7 linked regions of the Macaca mulatta genome follow. The protein of the gene in region 7 purifies or fractionates together with the protein of the main gene of each other region. This does not show direct contact. Links are inferred from orthologs where the notes say so. Each region holds a gene or a part of one and is shown on either strand. Other genes may lie near its edges.

The links.
Region 1: the proteins of ANAPC16 (region 7) and CDC27 purify together in Homo sapiens (affinity purification with mass spectrometry; 10 studies listed by BioGRID and IntAct, with this or other methods). This does not show direct contact. The link is inferred for Macaca mulatta from reciprocal best matches to the Homo sapiens genes ANAPC16 and CDC27.
Region 2: the proteins of ANAPC16 (region 7) and ANAPC1 purify together in Homo sapiens (co-immunoprecipitation; 5 studies listed by BioGRID and IntAct, with this or other methods). This does not show direct contact. The link is inferred for Macaca mulatta from reciprocal best matches to the Homo sapiens genes ANAPC16 and ANAPC1.
Region 3: the proteins of ANAPC16 (region 7) and ANAPC4 purify together in Homo sapiens (co-immunoprecipitation; 10 studies listed by BioGRID and IntAct, with this or other methods). This does not show direct contact. The link is inferred for Macaca mulatta from reciprocal best matches to the Homo sapiens genes ANAPC16 and ANAPC4.
Region 4: the proteins of ANAPC16 (region 7) and CDC26 purify together in Homo sapiens (co-immunoprecipitation; 5 studies listed by BioGRID and IntAct, with this or other methods). This does not show direct contact. The link is inferred for Macaca mulatta from reciprocal best matches to the Homo sapiens genes ANAPC16 and CDC26.
Region 5: the proteins of ANAPC16 (region 7) and ANAPC7 purify together in Homo sapiens (affinity purification with mass spectrometry; 6 studies listed by BioGRID and IntAct, with this or other methods). This does not show direct contact. The link is inferred for Macaca mulatta from reciprocal best matches to the Homo sapiens genes ANAPC16 and ANAPC7.
Region 6: the proteins of ANAPC16 (region 7) and ANAPC13 purify together in Homo sapiens (affinity purification with mass spectrometry; 3 studies listed by BioGRID and IntAct, counting the BioPlex papers as one, with this or other methods). This does not show direct contact. The link is inferred for Macaca mulatta from reciprocal best matches to the Homo sapiens genes ANAPC16 and ANAPC13.

What each region holds. Positions count from the first base shown.
Region 1 is NC_133421.1:71,440,333-71,443,832, reverse strand, and holds part of CDC27 (cell division cycle protein 27 homolog), read left to right. Parts: intron 1-486; coding exon 487-641; intron 642-745; coding exon 746-957; intron 958-3,393; coding exon 3,394-3,500. UniProt on the Homo sapiens protein: Component of the anaphase promoting complex/cyclosome (APC/C), a cell cycle-regulated E3 ubiquitin ligase that controls progression through mitosis and the G1 phase of the cell cycle.
Region 2 is NC_133418.1:21,897,104-21,899,692, forward strand, and holds part of ANAPC1 (anaphase-promoting complex subunit 1), read right to left. Parts: intron 770-2,589; coding exon 635-769; intron 1-634. UniProt on the Homo sapiens protein: Component of the anaphase promoting complex/cyclosome (APC/C), a cell cycle-regulated E3 ubiquitin ligase that controls progression through mitosis and the G1 phase of the cell cycle.
Region 3 is NC_133410.1:24,405,668-24,409,167, reverse strand, and holds part of ANAPC4 (anaphase-promoting complex subunit 4), read right to left. Parts: intron 1,847-3,500; coding exon 1,772-1,846; intron 1,632-1,771; coding exon 1,605-1,631; intron 1,511-1,604; coding exon 1,466-1,510; intron 395-1,465; coding exon 310-394; intron 1-309. UniProt on the Homo sapiens protein: Component of the anaphase promoting complex/cyclosome (APC/C), a cell cycle-regulated E3 ubiquitin ligase that controls progression through mitosis and the G1 phase of the cell cycle.
Region 4 is NC_133420.1:45,041,357-45,045,368, reverse strand, and holds the start of CDC26 (anaphase-promoting complex subunit CDC26), read right to left. Parts: upstream 2,801-4,012; coding exon 2,720-2,800; intron 1-2,719. UniProt on the Homo sapiens protein: Component of the anaphase promoting complex/cyclosome (APC/C), a cell cycle-regulated E3 ubiquitin ligase that controls progression through mitosis and the G1 phase of the cell cycle.
Region 5 is NC_133416.1:117,564,621-117,568,120, reverse strand, and holds part of ANAPC7 (anaphase-promoting complex subunit 7), read left to right. Parts: intron 1-1,979; coding exon 1,980-2,166; intron 2,167-2,985; coding exon 2,986-3,105; intron 3,106-3,500. UniProt on the Homo sapiens protein: Component of the anaphase promoting complex/cyclosome (APC/C), a cell cycle-regulated E3 ubiquitin ligase that controls progression through mitosis and the G1 phase of the cell cycle.
Region 6 is NC_133407.1:37,520,592-37,523,560, reverse strand, and holds the end of ANAPC13 (anaphase-promoting complex subunit 13), read left to right. Parts: intron 1-1,846; coding exon 1,847-1,972; 3' UTR 1,973-2,469; downstream 2,470-2,969. UniProt on the Homo sapiens protein: Component of the anaphase promoting complex/cyclosome (APC/C), a cell cycle-regulated E3 ubiquitin ligase that controls progression through mitosis and the G1 phase of the cell cycle.
Region 7 is NC_133414.1:77,394,571-77,398,070, forward strand, and holds part of ANAPC16 (anaphase-promoting complex subunit 16), read right to left. Parts: intron 1,366-3,500; 5' UTR 1,339-1,365; coding exon 1,197-1,338; intron 1-1,196. UniProt on the Homo sapiens protein: Component of the anaphase promoting complex/cyclosome (APC/C), a cell cycle-regulated E3 ubiquitin ligase that controls progression through mitosis and the G1 phase of the cell cycle.

The sequences.
Region 1 (3,500 bases), on a different chromosome or scaffold from region 7:
TTTCTGAACAGTATAGGGAGAGAATATCTCAGTACATTTGGCCTAGGATACATAAAGGACCATTTTTCAGCATTGTTGCATCTATGTATATATAGAAGGGCTTCAACCTTTACTGTAAAGTATGATGTAAAGTATGATGGGTTTTAACTCTTCAACCTCATCTCCTACTTTGAGAAAAATGAGACCTAGTTATTTTCAGCTTTAAAGCAAACACAGAAATCTGCATTTTTCTGTGATTTGTTATATTTAAAATTAGTGTTCTTGTAGTTTATTTTCTAAATTTACAGCTTTGTCTTACTGGTACACTTTTATGATACATTGATAGATGGGCTTTTAGGGGGTAAATTTGATTAGCAGAAGTGGACAGGAGAATTTAAAATTTTGGATAAGGCCTATTTCCTGTTTCCACTAACTTATGCATACTTGAAAAAAATGTAATCCTCACTTCCTCGGAGACAAACTTTTTTTTTTTTTTTGTCTTCACAGGTGAAAAGCCAGATCCTGACCAAACATTTAAATTCACATCTTTACAGAACTTTAGCAACTGTCTGCCCAACTCTTGCACAACACAAGTACCTAATCATAGTTTATCTCACAGACAGCCTGAGACAGTTCTTACGGAAACACCCCAGGACACAATTGTAAGTGTCTTATATTCTAGTGTTCAAAATATTATGAAACTACAAAGAATGATCTGAACTAAATAATATATTGTGAATGACTTGGTAGAAATTTTCTGTTTCAGGAATTAAACAGATTGAATTTAGAATCTTCCAATTCAAAGTACTCCTTGAATACAGATTCCTCAGTGTCTTATATTGATTCAGCTGTAATTTCACCTGATACTGTCCCACTGGGAACAGGAACTTCCATATTATCTAAACAGGTTCAAAATAAACCAAAAACTGGTCGAAGTTTATTAGGAGGACCAGCAGCTCTTAGCCCATTAACCCCAAGGTAAGTCAAACAAGATACTTTCAAATGTGCTATAGTACTAAATGATCTTATAATAACTCATATTGTTTGTAATGCAGATTATTACAATGGCAACTTCTAAATCAGTATGGGAACAGGGGCATTCTGTTTTCAGAAAATGAAGTAAAAAACAGCACATGATGATGTTGACAGGCGCGGTGGCTCACGCCTGTAATCCCAGCACTTTGGGAGGCCAAGGCAGGCAGATCACCTGAGGTCAGGAGTTCGAGACCAGCCTGGCCAACATGGTGAAACCCTGTCTCTACTAAAAATATAAAAATTAGCTGGGCGTGGTGGTGGGCGCCTGTAATCCCAGCTACTCGGGAGGCTGAGACAGGAGAATTGCTTGAACCCAGGAGGCGGAGGTTGCAGTGAGCCGAGATGGAGCCACTACACTCCAGCCTGGGTAACAGAGCAAGACTCTGACTCAAAAAAAATTGATACTAAGTATTGGATTGGCCGGGCGCGGTGGCTCACACCTGTAATCCCAGCACTTTGGGAGACCGAGGTGGGCGGATCACGAGGTCAGGAGATCAAGACCATCCTGGCCAACATGGCGAAACCCCATCTCTACTAAAAATACAAAAAATTAGTTGGGCATGGTGGCATGCTTCTATAGATCCAGCTACTCGGGAGGCTGAGGCAAGAGAATCACTTGAACCCAGGAGGCAGAGGTTGCAGTGAGCTGAGATGGCGCCACTGCACTCCAGCCTAGGAGACAGGACAAGGCTCCGTCTCAAAAAAAAAATTGGAGAAAAATGTAAAACTCTTAAATTAGGTAGTAAACACATTAAGAAATACTATCTATGGCTGTGCATTATTGGATAGCAGTGAGCCTCATGAAATGTTACAATCAGAGCACCATTGGTTGCTATTAAAATGTTCTTTTCCAAAACATGATGGAAATTTGACACCTACCGTTTTTTGTTTGAGACAGCATCTCACTCTGTCACCCAGGTTAGAGTGCAATGGCACAATCATAGCTCACTGCAGCCTCAAATTCCTGGGCTCAAGCGATCCTCCCGCCTCAGACTCCTGAGTAGCTAGGACTGCAGGCACATGCCAACACACCTGGCTAATTTTTTAAGTTTTTTTGTAGAGATGGGGTCTTGCTGTGTTGCTCAAGCTGATCTGGAACTCCTGACCTCTAGTGATCCTCCTGCCATGGCCTCCCAAAGTGCTAGGATTACAATGAGCCACTGAACCTAGCTGTCACACCTATTAATATAAAATATTTTATCGGCCGGGCGCGGTGGCTCAAGCCTGTAATCCCAGCACTTTGGGAGGCCGAGGCGGGTGGATCACGAGGTCAGGAGATCGAGACTATCCTGGCTAACATGGTGAAACCCCGTCTCTACTAAAAATACAAAAAACTAGCCGGGCGTGGTGGCGGGCGCCTGTAGTCTCAGCTACTTGGGAGGCTGAGGCGGGAGAATGGCGTGAACCCGGGAGGCGGAGCTTGCAGTGAGCCGAGATCACGCCACTGCACTCCAGCCTGGGAGACACAGGGAGACTCCGCCTCAAAAAAAAAAAAAAAATATTTTATCAAAATTAATAGTAGTATATGTATGTATAAATACAGGAACTCAGCCCAGAGGATACATATCCAAAAGTATCAAAATGAAAAATGATGTGCTAGAACGGGTTGGGCTTGGTGGCTCATGCCTGTAATCCCAGCACTTTGGGAGGCTGAGGTGAGCAGATCACTTGAGACCAGGAGCTCAAGACCAGTCTGGCCCACATGGTAAAACCCTATCTCTACTAAAATTACAAAAATTAGCCAGGTATGGTGACAGATACGTGTAATCCCAGGTAGTTGGGAGGCTGAGGCACAAGAATCGTTTGAACCCAGCAGATGGAGGTTACAGTGAGCTGAGATCATGCCACTGCACTCCAGCCTGGGCAACAGAGCAAGACTCTGTCTCAAAAAAAAAAAAAAAAAAATATATATATATATATATACACTAGAAGAAATTCTATGAATCGGGTCCTGAGGCCAGGGAACTACTAAAATAGTGTGACCATGAGATTACCACTCTGGAGAGTTATAGTTATCTAATGGTCTCTAGAGACATTTTCTCTAGTTGTGTCTAAATCCCATAAATTCCAAGAATTTGAAGTAATCTGATCATTTGGATCTTAGATTTATAAAGCTACTCTTCTTTATTTCTAATAAATCTCCTGAGATCAGTAATTGTTGCTCACTGTAGTTCCTTGTTTGATAGCTTTTTTTAGTTTTAGTTATGGTGGGTGGAATAGTCTATATTCACAGCTTATTTTTAATCTGCCCCTCAGATCCTCACTGTCCCTAAGACTGATTTGCCATTCTCTTCCTTTTAGACCTTCTAATTTAAGTATACTGCTGCTTTATATATGCCTTGATGACTTTTTGACACCTTGATTTCAACCTCTTCTCAGTTTTGGGATTTTGCCATTAGAAACCCCAAGTCCTGGAGATGGATCCTATTTACAAAACTACACTAATACACCTTCTGTAATTGACGTGCCATCCACCGGAGCCCCTT
Region 2 (2,589 bases), on a different chromosome or scaffold from region 7:
TGCAGCACTGCTGCCTTTTGCTGGGACTCTACTTCTTGTGCTATGAACTGGCAAATGCCTTTGGGGGAGAAGCTAGAGTGAACAGAAAGCTCTCCCTGTTGTACTTCCCTTTTCTTATGTTTTTGTTTTTTGTTTTTTGTTTTTTGGTTTTTTAGCTTTTATACTTGTTTTGGAGGGCAAGTGAGTCCAATACAAGCAATTCCATCATGGCCATAACTAGAAGTCCCTAGATAGTAAACTTTTATCAGAGGCTTTCAAAACAGCAAAAAAACTAGTAATGTAATTAAACTTCAAGTTTAAATGATTAAATGGAACAATCTCTGCCTTTCTCAAAAAAAATGTTTTTTGTATATATTTTAGTATATACTAAAAAAAATTTTTAGACCAGTGTTTGGGGCTCTGTGAAGAAGAATCCATCCTTTTCTGAATAAAAATGAAAGTTATTCATGTAAAAAGTTGATAATTTTTTTCTTTTTTGCTCCAAAACAGTTCCTAGCAATGATACTGCAACATTAATGAAGAGGAAAGTCAAACTAGGGACAATAACTAATTAGAAACTCTTCCTACCAAGAAACTAGAACATAAAGGGGTAGGTAACAGAGGTACCGAAGAGAGGACTCAGATATGCAATTACCTTCTAGTCCTATAGGCGGCAGGTGCCGTGGAGCTGGCACAGAGTGGTAGACGAGGAAGCAGGCCAGCATGCTCAGCTGCGATTCCTCCAAGGGCTGCCCGCTGAGGTAGGCGTGCACACACATATCACCCCCGGCTGTGAGAGAAACAAATAGAACTGAACCAACTGATGACAGAACTGAGAGGCACAAGAAATATCTTCTTTCTATTACTTTTTCATCAAGAACTTATAAGCAGGTTCTACAGCTGGTACTGAGTACTGAGGCTACGGTGACAAGCTAGACTGAGTCCCTGTCATTGTAGAGTTTAGAGTGTTGTTGGGGAAGACAGATATTACACAAATAATGACACAAACAAATGCATAATTATGAACTGTGAGAGTGCTATAAAGGTGCAGTGGTCACTGTGGTTGTCTCCCCAAAATACCCCTTCACACCCCACCCTCCACCATGTATTAGAATATTTGATGGGACAGACTTCAGCTCCAGAACTAGATCCTTATTAGTCTTGGCCAGCGGTTCTCAAGCTTTCCCATGTATCACAATCCCCTGGAGGGCTTGTTAAATCACAGATGAGTGGGCCCCACTCCCCACACAGAGCAGAGAGCACAGAGCACAGAGTTTCTGATTCAGTAGGTCTGCGGTAGGGCCAGAAAAACTCCATTTCTAACAAGTTCCCAGGTCATGCTGCTCCACGAACCACACTTTGAGAATCACCGGTCTTGGGTGATCAAGGCAATCCCATTCCCCTGATACAGTGTTAGTTCAGAGACAGGCAGACCCAGGCCATTTTTTCAATAAGAGACAGTCTCTGCCACAGGGACAGATTGAGGGTGTGCATGAGATGCAACTCAGAGCCAGAAACCTGAGGAGGTACTTAATGACATGCTTGCTGGAGGCTCCAGGGAAAGAAATCCCCTCATTCTCATCACAAAGCTCCTAGAAGCAACTCTTCTTCTTCCTCTGGGCATCATGCTGAGCTAGAGGTGAACATGTTATAGCCATTTTATTACCATCCAAAAAAAGCACTGAGGATAAAGTCATGGCACAGAATGTAGCTGATGGAACCTCAGAGAAACGGAGTTGAAGACAATGGAATAAGATGACCCTTTACATGCCCTACCTGTGGACTTCTAATAACATAAGCAGATTTGTGTCCTCACTGTTTAAGGACAGCTTACGTCAGGTCTTCTGTTACTTGCAAACAAAGGCATTTAGATGCAGAAAAAAAGTTGAGAGCATGAGCGGGCAGGCAATAGATGGCAGGAAAGCTGCCTGAGGTACAGTGGTCTTGGAAGGCCTGGGAGGCAAGGTCATTAAAACTGAGGCTGCAAGGATAAATATGAGTTGGACAGGTGAAGAATGAGAGGAAAAGCTTCTAGGGAGGGAAAACAGCATATTCAATGGCCCCACAGTGAAAAGGAGCTCAGTGTTTTTGAGGAGGTAGAAGAGGCCAGCGTGGTGTGAGGAGCAAGTGGTGTAAAAGAGGCTTTGTTGAGGAAAACAGGTGCCTTGCAGGTCACACAGGTCCTGGTGCCACACAGTAGGGATTTCTTTCATAGCTGAATCAGGAGTCTTTGAAAAGCTTTAAGCAGGAGTGTTAGATCAGTTCATTCTTTAAAAGACTGTTCTGTCAGTTAACTTGAGATGATTAGAATGGAGATGAGAAAAAGCAAGGAGGCTATTTAGGAGGCTATAACAGTGGTCCAGGCACAAAATAATCATTCTGTTCTAGGCAGAAGTAGTAAAATGTGGACAAATTCAAGAAATATCTATGATGAGGATTGAAGGCTTCAGCAATGGGTCAGTCATGGCAGAGGAGGGGAGAAGGGAAGGAGGGAAAGGAGCAAGGATGACTTCCAAAAGGGTCAACAAAGGAATGACAGTGAAATGGTGACAAATACTGAGAAAGAATTTAAAATAGGATTATTTTTAAAATCGGGAAAGTCTGCTGTGA
Region 3 (3,500 bases), on a different chromosome or scaffold from region 7:
TCCAATCACAAATTGAAGCTCTTTTACATCTCACACTAGAAAAACATTAAATCATAATCAAGTGTATCATACTAATCTTTCTGTTAAAGAAACAAACAAACAAACAAACTTGACTAATTCCACAAATAGCTCCCAATCTTTATAGACATATCACAATTATTTTATCTTAGTAAGAAAATCATTCTCTGAACATTTAATTCTAAAAACCGAGACTGAAAAAAAAACCTGGTGTTTTATTCTTTTTCCATAAGTACTTAGTATATTCTAAGAGAAACAATTTAGAAAGAGAAAATTTTAAAGAAATCTTACCCCCGTGACTCGAGCAATTTTAAACATTCCATAAGCATAAAGCTCAATAAATCCAGAGCTTCCTCCAAGGACAAGAATATTAAGCCTAATTAAAAATAATGCAACAAGCTGAGAACGAATCAACAACACAGATGATTACATTCTTAAACCAAGATATAAATTATTACTGCTTTCATATAATCTACATGCTAAAGCTCCCCTGCAGAGGGAAGTGAAATATCAAATCCACTAACACTCAATATTCAATCGTATCAGGTTTATTCCTTTTTTCAAAGAACATAAATTTCCTCTAGCCTAAAAAAAATCAGCTTACGGTAAAATAAGAATACGTTATTTTAATAACAACTATATTTATGCACCATCAATAACAAAACAATCCTTTTACCAACTAATACGAAGTGCCATCAGTTTTATCATGGTTATGATGCTAAATATATTAAACGGGCTTAAAAAACATGAATACTTAAATTTTAGAAACTCTAGTACTTATATCCTTTTATTTAACATATGTGCATATTATTATTAAAACTTGATAAAACGAAAGGCCACACAATAAAAACAATAATAGATATTAAAGTCTATATGTCGTTTGAAGGTATTAATGTCAACAATGAGGCCAGGTGTTGTGGCTCATGCCTGTAATCCCAATGCTTTGGGAGGCCAAGGTGGGTGGATCTTCTGAGGTCAGGAGTCTGAGACCAGCCTGGCCAACATGGTGAAACCCCGCCTCTACTAACAATACAAAAATTAGGCCGGGCACAGTGGCTCACGCCTATAATCCCAGCACTTTTGGAGGCCAAGACAGGTGGATCACAAGTTCGAGAGATCAAGACCATCCTGGCCAACATGGTGAAACCCTGTCCCTACTAAAAATATAAAAATTAGAAAGGCCTGGGGGCGGGCGCCTGTAGTCCCAGCTACTCGGGAGGGTGAAGCAGAAGAATCACTTGAACCAGGAAGGCGGAGGTTGCAGTAAGCCGAGATCGCGCCACTGCACTCCAGCCTGGGTGACAGAGACTCCATCTCAAACAAAAACAAAAACAAAAAAACAATGAAATAAAATGGCAAATAAAGGATTTGCTCTTAAAGCTTCTGAAAACTGCCTCAAATATGAAATAACTTTAAGAAATTAGACTTATTTATCCATAAGACTTACCTGACGTCTCCCAAGAGCTTAATAATTTCATCAGAATTTTCTTCACTAAAATATACAAATAAATTGGGTCATCTTTCAATTCTATCTTTCAAATAACAACAGATTATCTTACTTGAAAACAAGAAAAGGCATATCTTACCTAAATATTTTTGAGGTGTTGCTATAGCTAGAAGGAAACAGAGATTAAGGTAAAAAATACTCTCAGCAAAAATACGTATTTTAAAATGCATGAGAAAATTGTCGGTGTTAAAAGCAGAAGAAAGAGAAATCTGCAAGATTAATTTCAAAGAAACCAGTGATACATACTTTTTTGGCAGTGTAGGTAGTTTAGGTAAGAGGAGATTTGATTCATCCTCAGCGTTATAAAATGATGTGAGAACACTAAAAAGGAAAAAATGAAATTATAAAAACACCAAAGATTTTACTTCTCTTACCATTAAAAATGCTAATTTTTTAAAAAGATACCCAGTTTTACAACATTATCAAGTAAACAGATGCCACAAATACTATACAGTTATAGTCAGTTTAACAGTCCCAAACGAGAAATTGAAAAGTAGGAATTTCTTTGTTATTTTAGGGGAATAAAAAACATCAGCCTGCACACTTTAGAGAAATGATAATAAACATTTTTCTTAGCATATCAAATGCATTCATACATACTCAGATACTGAGAATTTATGATTTCTTAACTCTTATTTAAGAACTCACACTAAACATATGACTACTAAGAGTAATTTTAAAGAACACTGCAATTACCCTATCTTTTATTTATGAGACAGGGTCTCACCCAGGCTGGACTGCAGTGATGTGATCATGGTTCACTGCAGCCTCCACCTCCTGAGCTAAAGCCATCGTCCTGCCCCAGCCTCCTGAGTAGCTGGGACTACAGGTGCAAACCACCACACCCAGCTAATATTTTTTATTTTTTTGTAGACATGGGGGGTCTCACTATGTTGCCCAGACTGGTCTAAAACTCCTGGTCTCAGGCAATCCTCCTGCCTCAGCCTCTCAAAGTGCTAGGATTACAGGCATGAACCACTGTGCATGGCCTACCGTATGATTTAATTATTGAATCTATGACTTATATACACTTGTGGATTTAAGACTCCAACAGGTGTATGAGATTACACCATGCCTTTTGAAATAGTCTCATTTTCCCCCTTTTCCTTCCCAATTCTAACTCCAAATAAGGTTGGAAATAAATGAGTGAGCAAGTAAAAAAGTGGTGATTTAGCAAGTATTTTTTCCTACTTTAACAAAAAGGAGCTGTCTTGAGAGACCCTGGAATCTCCATATAACTTTTCTAAACTGTCAGTAGGAAGTATGTTGGGAATACACATAGCAGATAACTGGGCTGGAATAGGACTTCCATGGTATGCTCTGACCCTCTAACCTTCTACAGAGTCACATAACCATTTGTAATCCTTCATGATCTGATGATGGATTTGTCACTCTGGTTTATCCGCAGTGAATTTCAAACCCCAGGTCAAACCCTTGTTATCCAATTCTTTCAGGCTTCCCTTAGGAAAGCTGGCAATTAATATTCAGGATTTACAAATTCATTTGATACTAACTTAGTATAACTTAATTAGAAAGGAAAAGTTAATACAAAGAAAATTACCATATTGCCCCAAACAAGAAAAACAATTTTTGTTTTCAGCATTAGCCAAAAGCACTAATTCCTCCGGCCTTCTTCACTGTAACCCTGGTGTATTACTTGACTACACAGACTAAGGCAGAATTATTTTTATGAAACAAGGAAACTATCAGGACCATGGACAAAGAAAAAAACCTGTCCAGCATTAGAACAGAAGGCTCAACTTAGCACTTTCCATATTCTAAGAATATGGAGACAAAAAAAAAGTTTACCGAGACAAAAAAAAAGTTCAGATGATATAAATCATGAAATGGAAATTAATATATGTATTAATTAACATAACTTTAAAATTACTGATTGGCAAACTGAGGTTGTTTTCCATTTCACCATTTTATGGAGCTTTGTTTTTTGTCTCAGTAACTATTTTTGGAGTAGGAA
Region 4 (4,012 bases), on a different chromosome or scaffold from region 7:
GCCCTCCAGGATGTCACAGTCTAATAGGTAAACAGCCAAAGAGACGATTATAGGGTGATCCGGGCTATGACCTATGACAGAGGGAAGTCAACACTGCCAAAGAGACGAGGTAAGGAGTTGGGGTGTGGTGGTACAACAGGAAGCTACAACTGGAAAGATGTAAGAGCAGACAAGGGGGAGCAAAGGGTATTTCAACAAATTTATTATTCTAGAGAATAGACAGAAAAATAAATTGACTGGTAAAGAAATAACCACCAAAAATCTATAGCCTAACTGATCCCATGAGATTAAAAGTAACATGAGAAGGTTTTATGCTATCTTATCAAAAGGTCTGGGTTTTGTGGCTTCATTTTGTTTTCAGATAAAAGGTTTGGTTCTTAAGTCACATGTGACTGCAGAATCCACAAAGTATGTCTCAGTTTGATCATTTTCAAAAAGAAACACTTATCCCGTAACTGCCACTACCTGACTGTAAGGACAACAGATGATAACTTTCTCTAAGAGAGTGAAATGATGTTTTATCCAAAATTCCTTAATAATAATAGAATGGCTCAGCTACTCAAATCACTGGAATTACCACCATTCTTCACCACTTGCTGCTGGACTGTGGGCATTTAAATGCCAAGCATCGGGCTGACCGCAGTGGCTCATGCCTGTAAATCCCACTGCTTTGGGAGGACTGCTTGAGCCCAGGAGTTTGACACTAGCCTGGGCAACATAGTGAGACTCCATCTGTCCCCACAAATTTTTTTTTTTTCTTCAGACCAAGTCTCGGTCTGTCACCAGGCTGGAGTGCAGTGGCGCCATCTCGGCTCACTGCAACCTCCACCTCCCAGGTTCAAGCGATTCTCCTGCCCTCGGCTTCCCAAGTAGTTGGGACTACAGGTGCATGCCACCACACCCAGCTAATGTTTGTATTTTTAGTAGAGATGGGGTTTCAACATGTTAGCTAGGATGGTCTCTTGACCTCGTGATCCGCCTGCCTCGGCCTCCCAAAGTGCTGGGATTACAGGCGTGAGCCACCACACCCGGCCCACAAAAAATTTAAAAATTAGCCAGGCATAGTGGCACATGCCTGTATTCCCAGTTATTCAGGGGGCCGGACGTGGTAGGATCACTGGAGCCTGGCAGGTAGAGGCTGCAGTGAGTGGTGATCATGCCACTGTACACCAGCAGGGCGACAGAGCAAGACCCTGTCTCAAAAATAAAAATAAAAAATAAAATAAATGCCAACACTCACAAAGTATTACAGTGAATAAAATAAGGTATTGCCTTTTATGTGGCAAATGACCTTCCTGATTACTAGTAAGTGATGTTAGAAAGTTCTACCTAAATATCTTTGTGAAAACAAGTTCTAAAAGGCAAACAACTCTATCATTCTGAGAATATCCAAGTGGAATGAAATCACTTAAAAGGGTTCCCACTTTGAGCAACTGCTGTTTCAGAAGCTAGAGTCACAGTAGATAATCAAACTCATGTTGGTAATAAATGAAACAGGCCAGTTTTCTACTGGTTTCACTTTAGGGCATGACTGTCCCTGCTTCCTAAGTTACTCTAAAACAGGGCAAAACCCACTAGATAACTGCCTTTGGTGAAAAGACTAACTCAATAGTGAGCTGACTCTGTAGAGTCAAAGTTCGGCATGCTAGCATTTTATGAGATTTGTAACAACTGAAGTTTAAGCCATACTTTAAAGCTCATCCTTAATAATATATGAGTTTTTTAAAAGCAGAAATTATGATGCTTCGAGAACACTAAAGTGTCTTGGGATGAAGCAGGGGGAAGAAATCTAAGTTATTAGTCTTAATATGAAGCATATACAATCCATAATAAAGCTGTTGGTAAATACATGCAAAATGTACTGTCCTCTGCCATATAGTACAAGATATCTGCTAGGACAGCAAATGAAAATAGACTTGTATTGAGCCCTCCTTTGGGCCTGGTATTGCAGGGAACAGATGCAGACAGAAATATACTAATCCCTGACTTCAAGGAGCTTATGGCCCAGTGAGGGAAAACAAAAGCAAACAGACAATTACAACAGAGACTAACAGTGCTTATGAGAGAGGTTAGCACAGGAGGATGAGGTTGAGCCTAACCCAGCTGGGGGCTGGAAGAAGTAAGAGTTAGCCTGGCAAAGAAAAATAAAGGACTTTTCTGGCAAAGGGAACACTTGTGTATAGGCATTGAGATTAAAGATAACCCAGCAGTGAAAGTGGAGAGATAAGCAAGGACCAGCTCACAAAGGACCTCATATGCCATGCTAGGGAATTTGGAATTTATTCTGTAGACCACTGAATAATTTAAGTCTTATTAATGGACATCTAATACCATGTAGCAAGGCCACACTTAAAAATACATATGGGGCTCCTACCATGAGCTAGATGGTAGGAAATGGTGATGCAAACAGACATGATTTCTGCAATCAATCACTGGCTGGGTGCAGTGGGTCACATGTGTAATCCCAGCACTTTGGGAGGCTGAGGCGGATGGATCACTTGAGGTCAGGAGTTGGAGACCAGCCTGGCCCCAACATGGCAAAATCCCGTCTCTACTAAAAACACAAAAATGACCCGGGCATGCTGGCATGTACCTATAGTCCCAGCTACTTGGGAGGCTGAGGCAGAGGTTGCAGTGAGCCAAGGATCATGCCACTATACTCCAGCCTGTGTGACACAGCGAGACTCCATCTCAAAAAAACACAAAGTTGTATTCATACCTCCAGGTCCTTTCGAATGCTCTCAAACTCTTCAATGTCATCAAGCTTTAGCTCTAGGCGTGTTGGTTTTCGTCTCAGCATACTGAAGTCAACACTAAGGGCCAAACCCAGTGAACTATTAGCTGATAAAAATGAAAGAGAGGAGGAAAAACTGAAGGTAATAAAGTCTCAGATACAAAACATAAAATCAGTTTGCAAGCCTGTGTACTAAAGTGAATGGAAGTATTAAAACTTTATTTGAATTCACACAGACTTCTAAAGTCTTTTTAAGAGATGGGATCTTGCTCTTTGCCCAGGCTGGAGCACAGTAGCATGACCTTAGCTCACTACAGCCTCAACTTCCTGGGCTCAAGCAATCTTACTGCCTCAGCCTCTAGAGTAGCTGGGACTACAGGTGTACACCACCATATCTGGCTAATTTTTGTGTTTTTTGTAGAAATGGGATCTCTCTCTGATGCCCAGGCTGGTCTCAAACTCTTGGGCTCAAGTGTTCCTCCCTCCTCATTTTCCCAAAGTACTGGCATTATAGGCAAGAGCTACTATACCCAGCCAACTTCTAAAGTCTTTAGGTATATGATTATTACATTTTTATTACATTATGGAGATCTACAGCTCTGTAAAATCAAAAACTCTTTCAGTAAGAATTTAAAATAGCAAACTATCACTTTAATCTCATGTTCTAGTCACATTCAAAGAAATACTCTAGCTAAAAGAATAAACTATCACATCTCAGTATAGTTAGAGGGGAAAGTGGACAAACCAGTGAATTTAATCTACTCTACGTGAGAACTGTCAGAGATTTGTGATCACTCCTGAATGCTAAAATCAGTTTGCTAAATCTCATGAAGACTCCAACTCACCAATTCACAGGATTATCCTCAGCGTCCAAACAGATCCTAAATGTGTGTACGTCATTCATTAAACAAACACTTCTTGTGCTCCAGCTACAGAATTAAAAGGTACAGTCATAATCTGTGGGGAAAATAAAGAAAACTGTGATATCATATAACGAGAACCCTAATGAGGATACTGGCACTGGCATCACACAGGCACCTAATCCAGTCTGGGCTGAGTGTGGGGTGGACAAGGATGTCAGGCAAGCCTTCCTGGAGAAAATGATATCTTAGTTGACTTCTGAAGGGCAGGCAGAGAGAAGAGTGCACAAGGAGGCTCAAGACCAGCTTTGGCAACATAGCAAGACCCTGTCTCTACAAAAAAGTAAAAAAATTAGCTAGGCTGGTAGTGTGTACCTGTAGTCCTAGCTACTCAGGAGGCTGAGATGGAAGGATCACT
Region 5 (3,500 bases), on a different chromosome or scaffold from region 7:
AATTTCTTGTGGAATAGGCAGTAGACACTGTTAAATTCAAACAGTGGAGAAGGGGCATGCAGATCAGTATCTTTCCCTGAGTCTTGAACCTCACCCCACCATTTCCTTTCTCCAGAGGCAGTAACTATTTTTTCCTGTGTCATTACAGAGGTAACTTATGCATGTGTAAGTAGACATGTATGTTATATGAGTATCAGAATGCCTTCTGTGGGTGTAATAATACTTTTGTATCCAGGCATCAGATGGTTATTTCTCACTACATACATAGAATCACAGAGTTTGAAGAGAACTTAAGTCATCTAGACTATACTTTTTTGTTGTGTTGTTTTTTTTGGGGGGGAGACTGAGTCTCGCTCTGTCACCAAGGCTGGAGTGCGGTGGCGTGATCTCGGCTCACTGCAGCTTCCGCCTCCTGGGTTCAAGCAGTTTTCCCTCAGCCTTCCAAGTAGCTGGGTTTACAGGTGCCCACCACCACGCCTGGCTGATTTTCGTATTTTTAGTAGAGACAGGGTTTCAACATGCTGGCCAGGCTGGTCAAACTCCTGACCTCGGTGATCCTCCCACCTTAGCCTCCCAAAGTGCTGGGATTACAGGCATGAGCCACCGCTCCCGGCCGTTTTTTGTTTGTTTGTTTGTTTATTTATGAGACAGAGCCTCTCTCTGTCACCCAGGCTGGAGTGCAGTGGCGGGATCTTGGCTAACTGCAAGCTCTGCCTCCCAGGTTCAAGTGATTCTCCGGCCTCAGCATCTAAGTAGCTAGGATTATAGGCGTAAGCCATAGTGCATGGCCACAATAATGCAATTCTGTGGGTTTTAGAGTATTTACAAAATTGTATGGTCATCACCATGATCTAATTCCAGAAAGTTTTCATTACCTCAACGAAAGGAAACCCTGTGGCCTGGGATTACAGGCGTAAGCCACTGCGCGCGGCCTTTTTTTTTTTTTTTCTAAAGACAGAGTTTCACTCTTGTCGCCCAGGCTGGAGTGCAGTGGCGCAATCTCGGCTCATAGCAACCTCCGCCTCCCGGGTTCAAGCGATTCTCCTATCTCAACCTCCCGAGTAGCTGGGATTACAGGCATGCGCCACCATGCCCAGCTAATTTTGTATTTTTAGTGGAGACGGTTTCACCATGTTGGTTAGGCTAGTCTTGAACTCCTGACCTCAGGTGATCCGCCTGCCTTGGCCTCCCAAAGTGCTGGGATTACAGGCGTGAGCCACTACGCCCAGCCCCCCTTTCTCCTTTTATAGTGGCATTTTCTTTAGTTTTTTTGTTTTTGTTTTGTTTTGTTTTGTTTTGTTTTGTTTTGAGATGGGGTCTCACTCGGTCGCCAGGCTGGAGTGCGAGTGCGATGGTGCAATCTCAGCTCACTGTAACTGGAATCCCAGCACTTTGGAAGACCGACGCAGGTAGATTACTTGAGGTCAGGAATTTGAGACCAGCCTGGCCAACATAGCGAAACCCTGTGTCTACTTAAAAAAAAAACAAAAATTAGCTGGGCGTGGTGGCACGTGCCTGTAATCTCAGCTACTCTGGAGGCTGAGGAAGGAGAATCGCTTGAACCTGGGAGGTGGAGGTTGCAGTGAGCTGAGATCGCGCCACTGCACTCCAGCCTGGATGATAGAGCGAGAATCCATTTCAAAAAAAAAAAAAAGTTGGGGGAGCTTGGATTGAAAGGGAGGAAAAGATGTATTACATTTTCTCTATCTCCTACTGGATTTGATTCATAGGTATCATTGCTTTAATGTTAAATAAAGGAAGATTATATTGAGCAATAGATATATTTATCATATTAGCATAGAGTTCAGCTTTCAACTTTCATGTTTCTTACTTTAGGGACTAGCACTCAGGGTACATTGACTCTTTTGTAAGCTGTCATTATACAAGGCTTTGCGCTAGGCTTATGTAGACACTTAACAGTGTTCCTTCTAAAATTTCAAAATAACCTATGTAGGGGATATACTTTCTTTGTTTTCTAGTGAGTTATTCTCCCCATCTCAGAAGTACCAGCTTTTGGTGTATCATGCAGATTCTCTCTTTCATGATAAGGAATATCGGAATGCTGTGAGTAAGTATACCATGGCTTTACAGCAGAAGAAAGCGCTAAGTAAAACTTCAAAAGTGAGACCTTCAACTGGAAATTCTGCATCTACTCCACAAAGTCAGGTAATCGAAGATAGAATTGTGATTTTTTTTTTTTTTTTTTGAGAAAGACTCCAAAAATTTAGAACAGGGCTCCCCAGGCCCCAGTGCCTGGTCTGTTAGGAACCAGGCTGCACAGCAGGAGGTGGGTGGAGGGCTAGTGAATATTACTACCTGAGCTCCGCCTCCTGTCAGATCAGCTGTAGCATTAGATTCTCACAGGAACACAAACCCTATTGTGAACTACACTTGCTAGGATCTAGGTTGTGTGTTCCTTATCATAATCTGACTAATGCCTGATGATCTGAGGTGGAATGGTTTCATCCTGAAACCACCCCCTCACTCCCCATCTGTGGAAAAATTGTCTTTCATGAAACTGGTCCCTGGTGTCAAAAAGGTTGGGGACCGCTGATTTAGATGATAGCTGATTCGTTGTAAAAGATGAGGCCAGGCACAGTGGCTCACACCTGTAATCCAAGCACTTCGAGAGGCTAACGTGGGAGGACTTGAGGTCAGGAGTTTGAGACTAGCCTCGGCAACATAGTGAGACTCCTGTCTTTACACAAGTGGGCATGGTGGCACACACCTGTAGTCCTAGCTACTGAGGAGGCCAAGGTGGGAGGATTGCTTGAGACTAGGAGTTCAAGACTGCAGTAAATTATGTTGGCATCACTGCATTGCAGGACTCCAGCCTGGCAACTGGGCTCTGCAGCCTGGGCAACAGAGCGAGACCCTGTCTCAAAAAAAGAATTACTGGGTCATATGATAACTGTGTTTAACGTTTTGAGGTACTTTCATATTGTTGGAATAATGTTTCAAAGAGATATTTTCATTGTCTTTTAGTGTCTTCCATCTGAAATTGAAGTGAAATACAAAATGGCTGAATGTTACACAATGCTAAAACAAGATAAAGATGCCATTGCTATACTTGATGGGATCCCTTCAAGACAAAGAACTCCCAAAGTAAGTTGAATGTTTGTGTGTTTTTCTCCTCAGCCCTCCTAACCTTGCTCCCTCCCTCCATGTTTTCTCATGCATTAAGGAGTCCATCTGAACATTTTACCCATGATTCTAATTCTCATTTTCTTCCTCTTCATGGAGTGGGGGACCCTGAAAATTCAGCTGTTGAAAATGATAACTGGAGAATACTACACATGCTTATTCTTTGGTTTTTTTTTTTTTTTGAGACGGAGTCTCGCTCTGTCGCCCAGGCTGGAGTGCAGTGGCCAGATCTCAGCTCACTGCAAGCTCCACCTCCCGGGTTCACGCCATTCTCCTGCCTCAGCCTCCCAAGTAGCTGGGACTACAGGCGCCCGCCACCTTGCCCGGCTAGTTTTTTGTACTTTTTAGTAGAGACG
Region 6 (2,969 bases), on a different chromosome or scaffold from region 7:
GCTTAGGCCAAGAACTAGCCCACTGGCATGACAGCTTCATTCTGTTGGCCAAAATAACTCCCAGGGCCAATCCAAATCCAAGATTGGGGAAATCAGTTTCACCTTTTGATAAGAGTAGCTGCAAAGAACTAAGGGCATTTTACAGTACACCATAATGGATGGCTGGGTTTATGACACTTTTGTTTTTGTTTTCCAGGCATATATGCGATTTGATGTGTTGGCATGTATTGAACGGGACGATAGATACCAAACAAAAGACACATTATTTTAGAAAGCATACCACAGATAGGATGAAATTAAGCAAAGTTGTCTGCTTCTGAATTAAATAATTCATTAACTAAGGATACTATTTATTCTTTGTCATCTATAAGTAATTATTAGGACTGATTGCTTTACAATAAATGATAGCTCTTTTCAATCTGTTCAAGTATGTTTGAATCTGTCTTGTAGAACAAGATGTATGTGATTCAAATATAGATAAGTAAATATCATTTAATATATATTGAGCATAATTTTAGAGGGGAAAACATATTCACATACTACAAATTAGAATCCAGTGGAAAATTTTAAGTCTGGATATTGCATAACAGTTTGCTAAGCGTAAAACAAAACATAAATTAAGATAATCGAAAAGAAATATGTTGGTATCTGTGAACTCTGGTACAAAGCAGAGTTTCAGTAGTAATACATTTAAATTTGAAATACAAGTAAATGATCCCAGATCCTATACTAAGTGTGGCCCATGACTTACCGTTTTATGAAAATTGCTGGTAGGGTGTGAATTGGTCATTTGTTGGGGTTTTTGTTGCCCTGCTCCACCACTAGGGGGAGGTATCATCTACTAGTTACATTTTCAGTGTTTCCTGCCCTACCTCCATTTTTATTATAATATAGACATGTTGGGCCAGGCGCAGTGGCTTGCGCCTGTAATCCCAGCACTTTGGGAGGCCGAGGCGGGTGGATCACCTGAAGTCAAGAGTTCGAGAGCAGCCTGACCAACATGGAGAAACCCCATCTCTACTAAAAAAAAAAAAAAAAATAACAAAATTAGCTGGGAGTGGTGGTGCATGCCTGTAATCCCAGCTACTTGGGAGGCTGAGGCAGGAGAATCACGTGAACCCAGGAGACAGAGGTTGTGGTGAGCCGAGATCACGCCATTGCACTCCAGCCTGGGCAACAAAAGCGAAACTCCATCTCAAAAAAAAAAAAAAAAAAAAAAAAGACATGTTTGGTCCAAGGTCATTTTTTGGATACATTTCTTGTGTCTAAGGAATATGCCAGCAAACTAGTATTCTTTTAAAGCACGCTCCCCCAAAAGAAGATTTAGGATTGGCTCATCTCAGTGTTCCTAACCGCTAATAATAATAGCAAATATTCCTTGAGCACCAGATACCCCACACAGTGCTCAGCACTTGATCTAACCTCACCTGATCCTTACAGTAGTCTTGTGAGGTGATGGCTCTTTTTTTCTCCCATTTGCCAAGGAGGAAACAAAGGCCCCAAGGGTTTGCATACCTTGCCCAAGTAACCCAGCAAATGGGAGAGTTGTGGTCTTGGATCCTAGTTGGCTTCCAAAAGCCTCTGCCCTTAACCCTTCTGCCACGGTGCCTCCTTCACAAATGTCAGAGTCAAAATGCCCATCACTCCCTATTGAAGAAGGCCCAGGCCATGTTTGAGTGATACTTCTGATCGTTTCCTCACGTGTATGATTTTAGCTTTTTTAGAATACACATATCAGTTATGTTGCCTGTTCCTAGGAACTCACAAGCTTTAATTCTAAGTGTTCTTGAGTTCCAAGAAAATACAGAATATATTACTGTTCTGAATTTCTATTGTACCTTTTCAGAATGAGCTTCCTGAACCTGAACAAGACAATGGTGGCACCACAGAATCTGTCAAAGAACAAGAAATGAAGTGGACAGACTTAGCCTTACAGTACCTCCATGAGAATGTTCCCCCCATTGGAAACTGACACTTGGCTCCTTTCTTGTATATGGATTTTCTAAAAGCACACAGATAAAGCATGTTTTGTTTCAGTCTCCTAAATCAAATCTTTGAGTAATAAATCAGCACTCAAAAATGTATACCCGTTTAGTTTGTGGTAGCAAAGTGCGATGTGAAAATGTTCACCAGAATGAGAAACTGAGATTTCTCAGTAATGGTGAATATTTGGCTCTTTAAACCTAAAACTCTTCATTGAGTAGCTTGTATTTGAACAAGACTGGTTAAACATTTGCCTTTACTTCTGATTTTGCTTTACTGTCAAAGTTTAACACCTTCCAACTACTCATGTGTGTCCTGTAACACAGGGGATTGAACGTATGAGAGGGAAAGGCAAAGGAAAAAGGAAGCCAGATACTGGGAGAATTACTAACTTCTCATACTTCCCCACATTGAGAAGCATTCGGAGTGTATTTAGCCTGTAGGTGTTGTGATATGCAAATATTCCATTCCCTGGTTACTGGCATTCCTAAGATTCTTCATGGTATTTTCAAACTTTGGATAAATTTACAGATTAGAAAGATACCTGACAGTTACCTCTGTTCTCCCTACAACTTCCTTTTGTGCTGCTGGAAAGGATCTTTGGCTAGGTGGACCATTAGTTTTATTCAGTAGTGGCATTTCCTATTTTCTCAAAGCCCTTTCAGTTATAACCACCCCACTATGGAATCAGTATTTAGTTACACATTTGTATAAGAACCTGTATTTTGAAAAACACATTTGTGTATATTTCCTGGAATTATTTGCCTGTTAAACAGTGTCTTTCGTGTGCTCTCCCCAGATTGTAAACGCTGTAAGAAGCAGCCCTGGCTGCCTGTATCTGTATCCCTTGTTGAAACTCTGAAAACACTGAATAACTAAAATCTCTTCTCATCCTTTTTATGCTGGGTCTTTTTGTTTACTTAGCTTTTAGGAGGAAGAGGTACGTGAAAAAACAAATTAGCTTATTTTAGATTTTCAATCACAAA
Region 7 (3,500 bases):
CTGTACCCTGATCTTGGCTAGTCAGTTAGCCAATGATGCTGAACAAGATGGTGAATGATTTGATGCAAATCTGGCTCTGGTGCTAGAAAAACCACACAGCATCATGCTGCAGTGGGTCAGGAGTCATGTTCACATAAAAGGGCACTGTATTAGCTTTTATTCCCTCTTAGAACCTTTCTGACAGGGTGAATCTATCTGTAGATTAATCATACTATAAAAAGACACATCAAACCTACTACCATGGGAGGTAGACAGGTGCCAGGATAAAGCAAACTGGAGTAGGAGGTCAAGAGAATTCCTGGACTCAGTGCTGACTCTGGTTTTTTTTTTTTTTTTTTTTTTTTTTTGAGACAGAGTCTCGCTCTGTCACCCAGGCTGGAGTGCAGTGGCTCGGTCTTGACTCACTGCATGCTCTGCCTTCCGGGTTCACGCCATTTTCCTGCCTCAGCCTCCCGAGTAGCTGGGACTACAGGCGCCCGCCACCACGCCCAGCTAATTTTTTTTTCGTATTTTTTAGTAGAGACGGGGTTTCACCATGTTAGCCAGGATGGTCTTGATCTCCTGACCTCGTGATCCGCCCGCCTCGGCCTCCCAAAGTGCTGGGATTACAGGCGTGAGCCACTGTGCCCGGCCAACTCTGTTTTTTTGAGACAGAATCTCATTTTGTTGCCCAGGTTGGAGTGCAGTAGCATGATCTCGGCACATGGCAACTTCTACTGTTCAAGTGATTCTCCTGTCTCAGCCTTTCCAGTAGCTGGGATTACAGGCGCCTACCACCATGCTCGGCTAATTTTTGTATTTTTAGTAGAGATGGGGTTTCACCATGTTGGCCAGGCTGGTCTCGAACTCCTGGCCTCAAGTGATCCGCCTGCCTTGGCCTCCCAAAGTGCTGGAATAACATGGATAAGCCACGGTGCCCAGCCCTACCTCTGCCTTTAACCTGGTCAAATCACTTAACTTTTCTGGATCTAAATAACTTTAGATGACTTCCTTGATTTCCAAAGTCCTTTTCAGCTCCAACATTCTGATTCTGGAGCAAGACTGTTTTTAAATATATTATTTTGAGATGGGGACAAGAGATGAAATGTAGAGCTGAAATCAGGGCAAACTCATCTTTAATCCACTTAATAGCTTCTTCACAATTAATATTCATTGCAGGTCTGAATCCAATTATTCAGAAAGCAGCATGAGATCACCTTCTAACATCTCTCCAGCTCCTTTGGGGTAGGTGAAAAGGGCTTTCCGTGGTGGGGCAAGGTCTGAGACACTGAAACCAGATCCAGTGACAGAACTTCCACTGACCCCACCAGCTGAAGAGGATGATGATGAAGCAGCCATTTCCTCTCTAGCAGAGTTCTTACTTCACTACAGAGAAAGAAAAACAGCAATTGGCAAGTTTATGGAAGTGAGAGTGACAACATTTCATTCGAGCTGCCGTAAGGGTCAGCATGCAGTTTTATAAAGAGTTAGCTCCCCGTTTTTCTATCCTCTCTACTTTCATGATATTTTATTGATGTCTCAGGCCAAAATATCAGTCAGGTTTTGAATTGAAAATAAGCTTAAGAATAGTATATCTACTTAAAACATGAATTCCTACCATTAGCAAACTGTTTATGTCAACTGAGATTGACTGTGGGTGATTCATGAGTTATGAAGGGGTGATATGGCAGTGCCAAGGCAGAAATTTGACTGAGGAAATAAGTTATATGAGGATAAAAGCATCACACTTCACAGGACAGTTTGTCTTGGATACATCCTGATCAAGCCACATAAATAAATTATAATATTTTCCAAATAAAATTCCAGAGTAACACTGTGTTCTGTTCCCAGGGAAGGGGAACTAGTTAGGAAATACCTATTGGCCTTCTCATTAAAAATTAACTTTTGGCCAGGCACGGTGGCTCACGCTTGTAGTCCCAGCACTTTGGGAGGTGGAGGCAGATAGATCACCTGAGGTCAGGAGTTCAAGACCAACCTGGCCAACATGACAAAACTCTGTCTCTACTAAAAATACAAAAAAAATTAGCCAGGCGTGGTGGTGGGCGCCTCTCATCCCAGCTACTCGGGAGGCTGATGCAAGAGAATTGCTTGAACCCGGGAGGCAGAGGTTGCAGTGAGCCTGGGTGACAGAACAGGACTCTCTCTCAAAAAAAATTAACCTTTTCATTCAAATGTAATACCCAAACTTATCACTTGGTGGCGTCCCAAAACCGGAACAAAAAGTTCAGGAAACAATCTTGGAAATCATTGCCTATTATGAACAGAGCACCTGTGAGTGTTTAACCTTATTGCATATCAAAAAATGCAAATGTTATAGAGAAAACTGTCCTGAATACATGACACCTTACTAAAGTTCAAAACAAACACTCTCTTTGCCACAGAAGCTTACACAACTTTAACAAAAATTCTAAAAAGTGTATATGGTATTTTATTTTTTTTTGAGACACAGTCTTGCTCTTGTCACCCATACTAAAGTGGCACGATAGCAGCTCACTGCAACCTCCACCTCCTAGGTTCAAGCGATTCTCCTGTCTCAGCCTCCCAAGTAGCTGGAATTACAGGCATGAGCCACCATGCCCAGCTAATTTTTGTAGTTTTAGCAGACACGGGGCTTCACCACATTGGCCATGCTGGTCTCGAACTCCTAACCTCAGGTGATCTACCTGCCTGGCCTCCCAAAGTGCTGGGATTATGGACATAAGCCACTGCATCTGGCCTCTTTCCATTTTTTTTTTTTTACAACAGAGATGAGGTCTTGCTATGTTGCCCAGTCTGGTGTGTATATATGTATGTACATATGTATTTATTTACGGAGTCTCACCTGTCGGCAGGCTGGAGTGCAATGGCGCGATCTCTGCTCACTGCAACCTCTGCCTCCCAGGTTCAAGCGATTCTCCTGCCTCAGCCTCCTGAGTAGCTGAGACTACAGGCGCCGCCACCAAGCCCAGCTAATTTTTGTATTTTTAGTTGAGACGGGGTTTCACCATGTTGGCTAGGATGGTCTCCATCTCTTGACCTCGTAATCTGCCCGCCTCGGCTTCCCAAAGTGCTGGGATTACAGGCATGAACCATCGTGCCCAGTCAGTCTGGTCTTTAACTCCTGGTCTCAAGTGATCCTCCCACCTTGGCTTCCCAAAGTCTCACTGCGCTCAGCTCTCTAAAAAGTGTACACAGTATTTTTTTTTTTTTTTTTTTTTTTGAGACGGAGTCTCGCTCTGTCGCCCAGGCTGGAGTGCGGTGGCGCGATCTCAGCTCACTGCAAGCTCCGCCTCCCGGGTTTACGCCATTCTCCTGCCTCAGCCTCCAGAGTAGCTGGGACTACAGGCGCCGCCACCTCGCCCGGCTAATTTGTTATATTTTTAGTAGAGACGGGGTTTCACCGTGTTAGCCAGGATGGTCTCAATCTCCTGACCTCGTGATCCACCTGTCTCGGCCTCCCAAAGTGCTGGGATTACAGGCTTGAGCCACCGCGCCCGGCCGGTATACAGTATTTTTTAAAG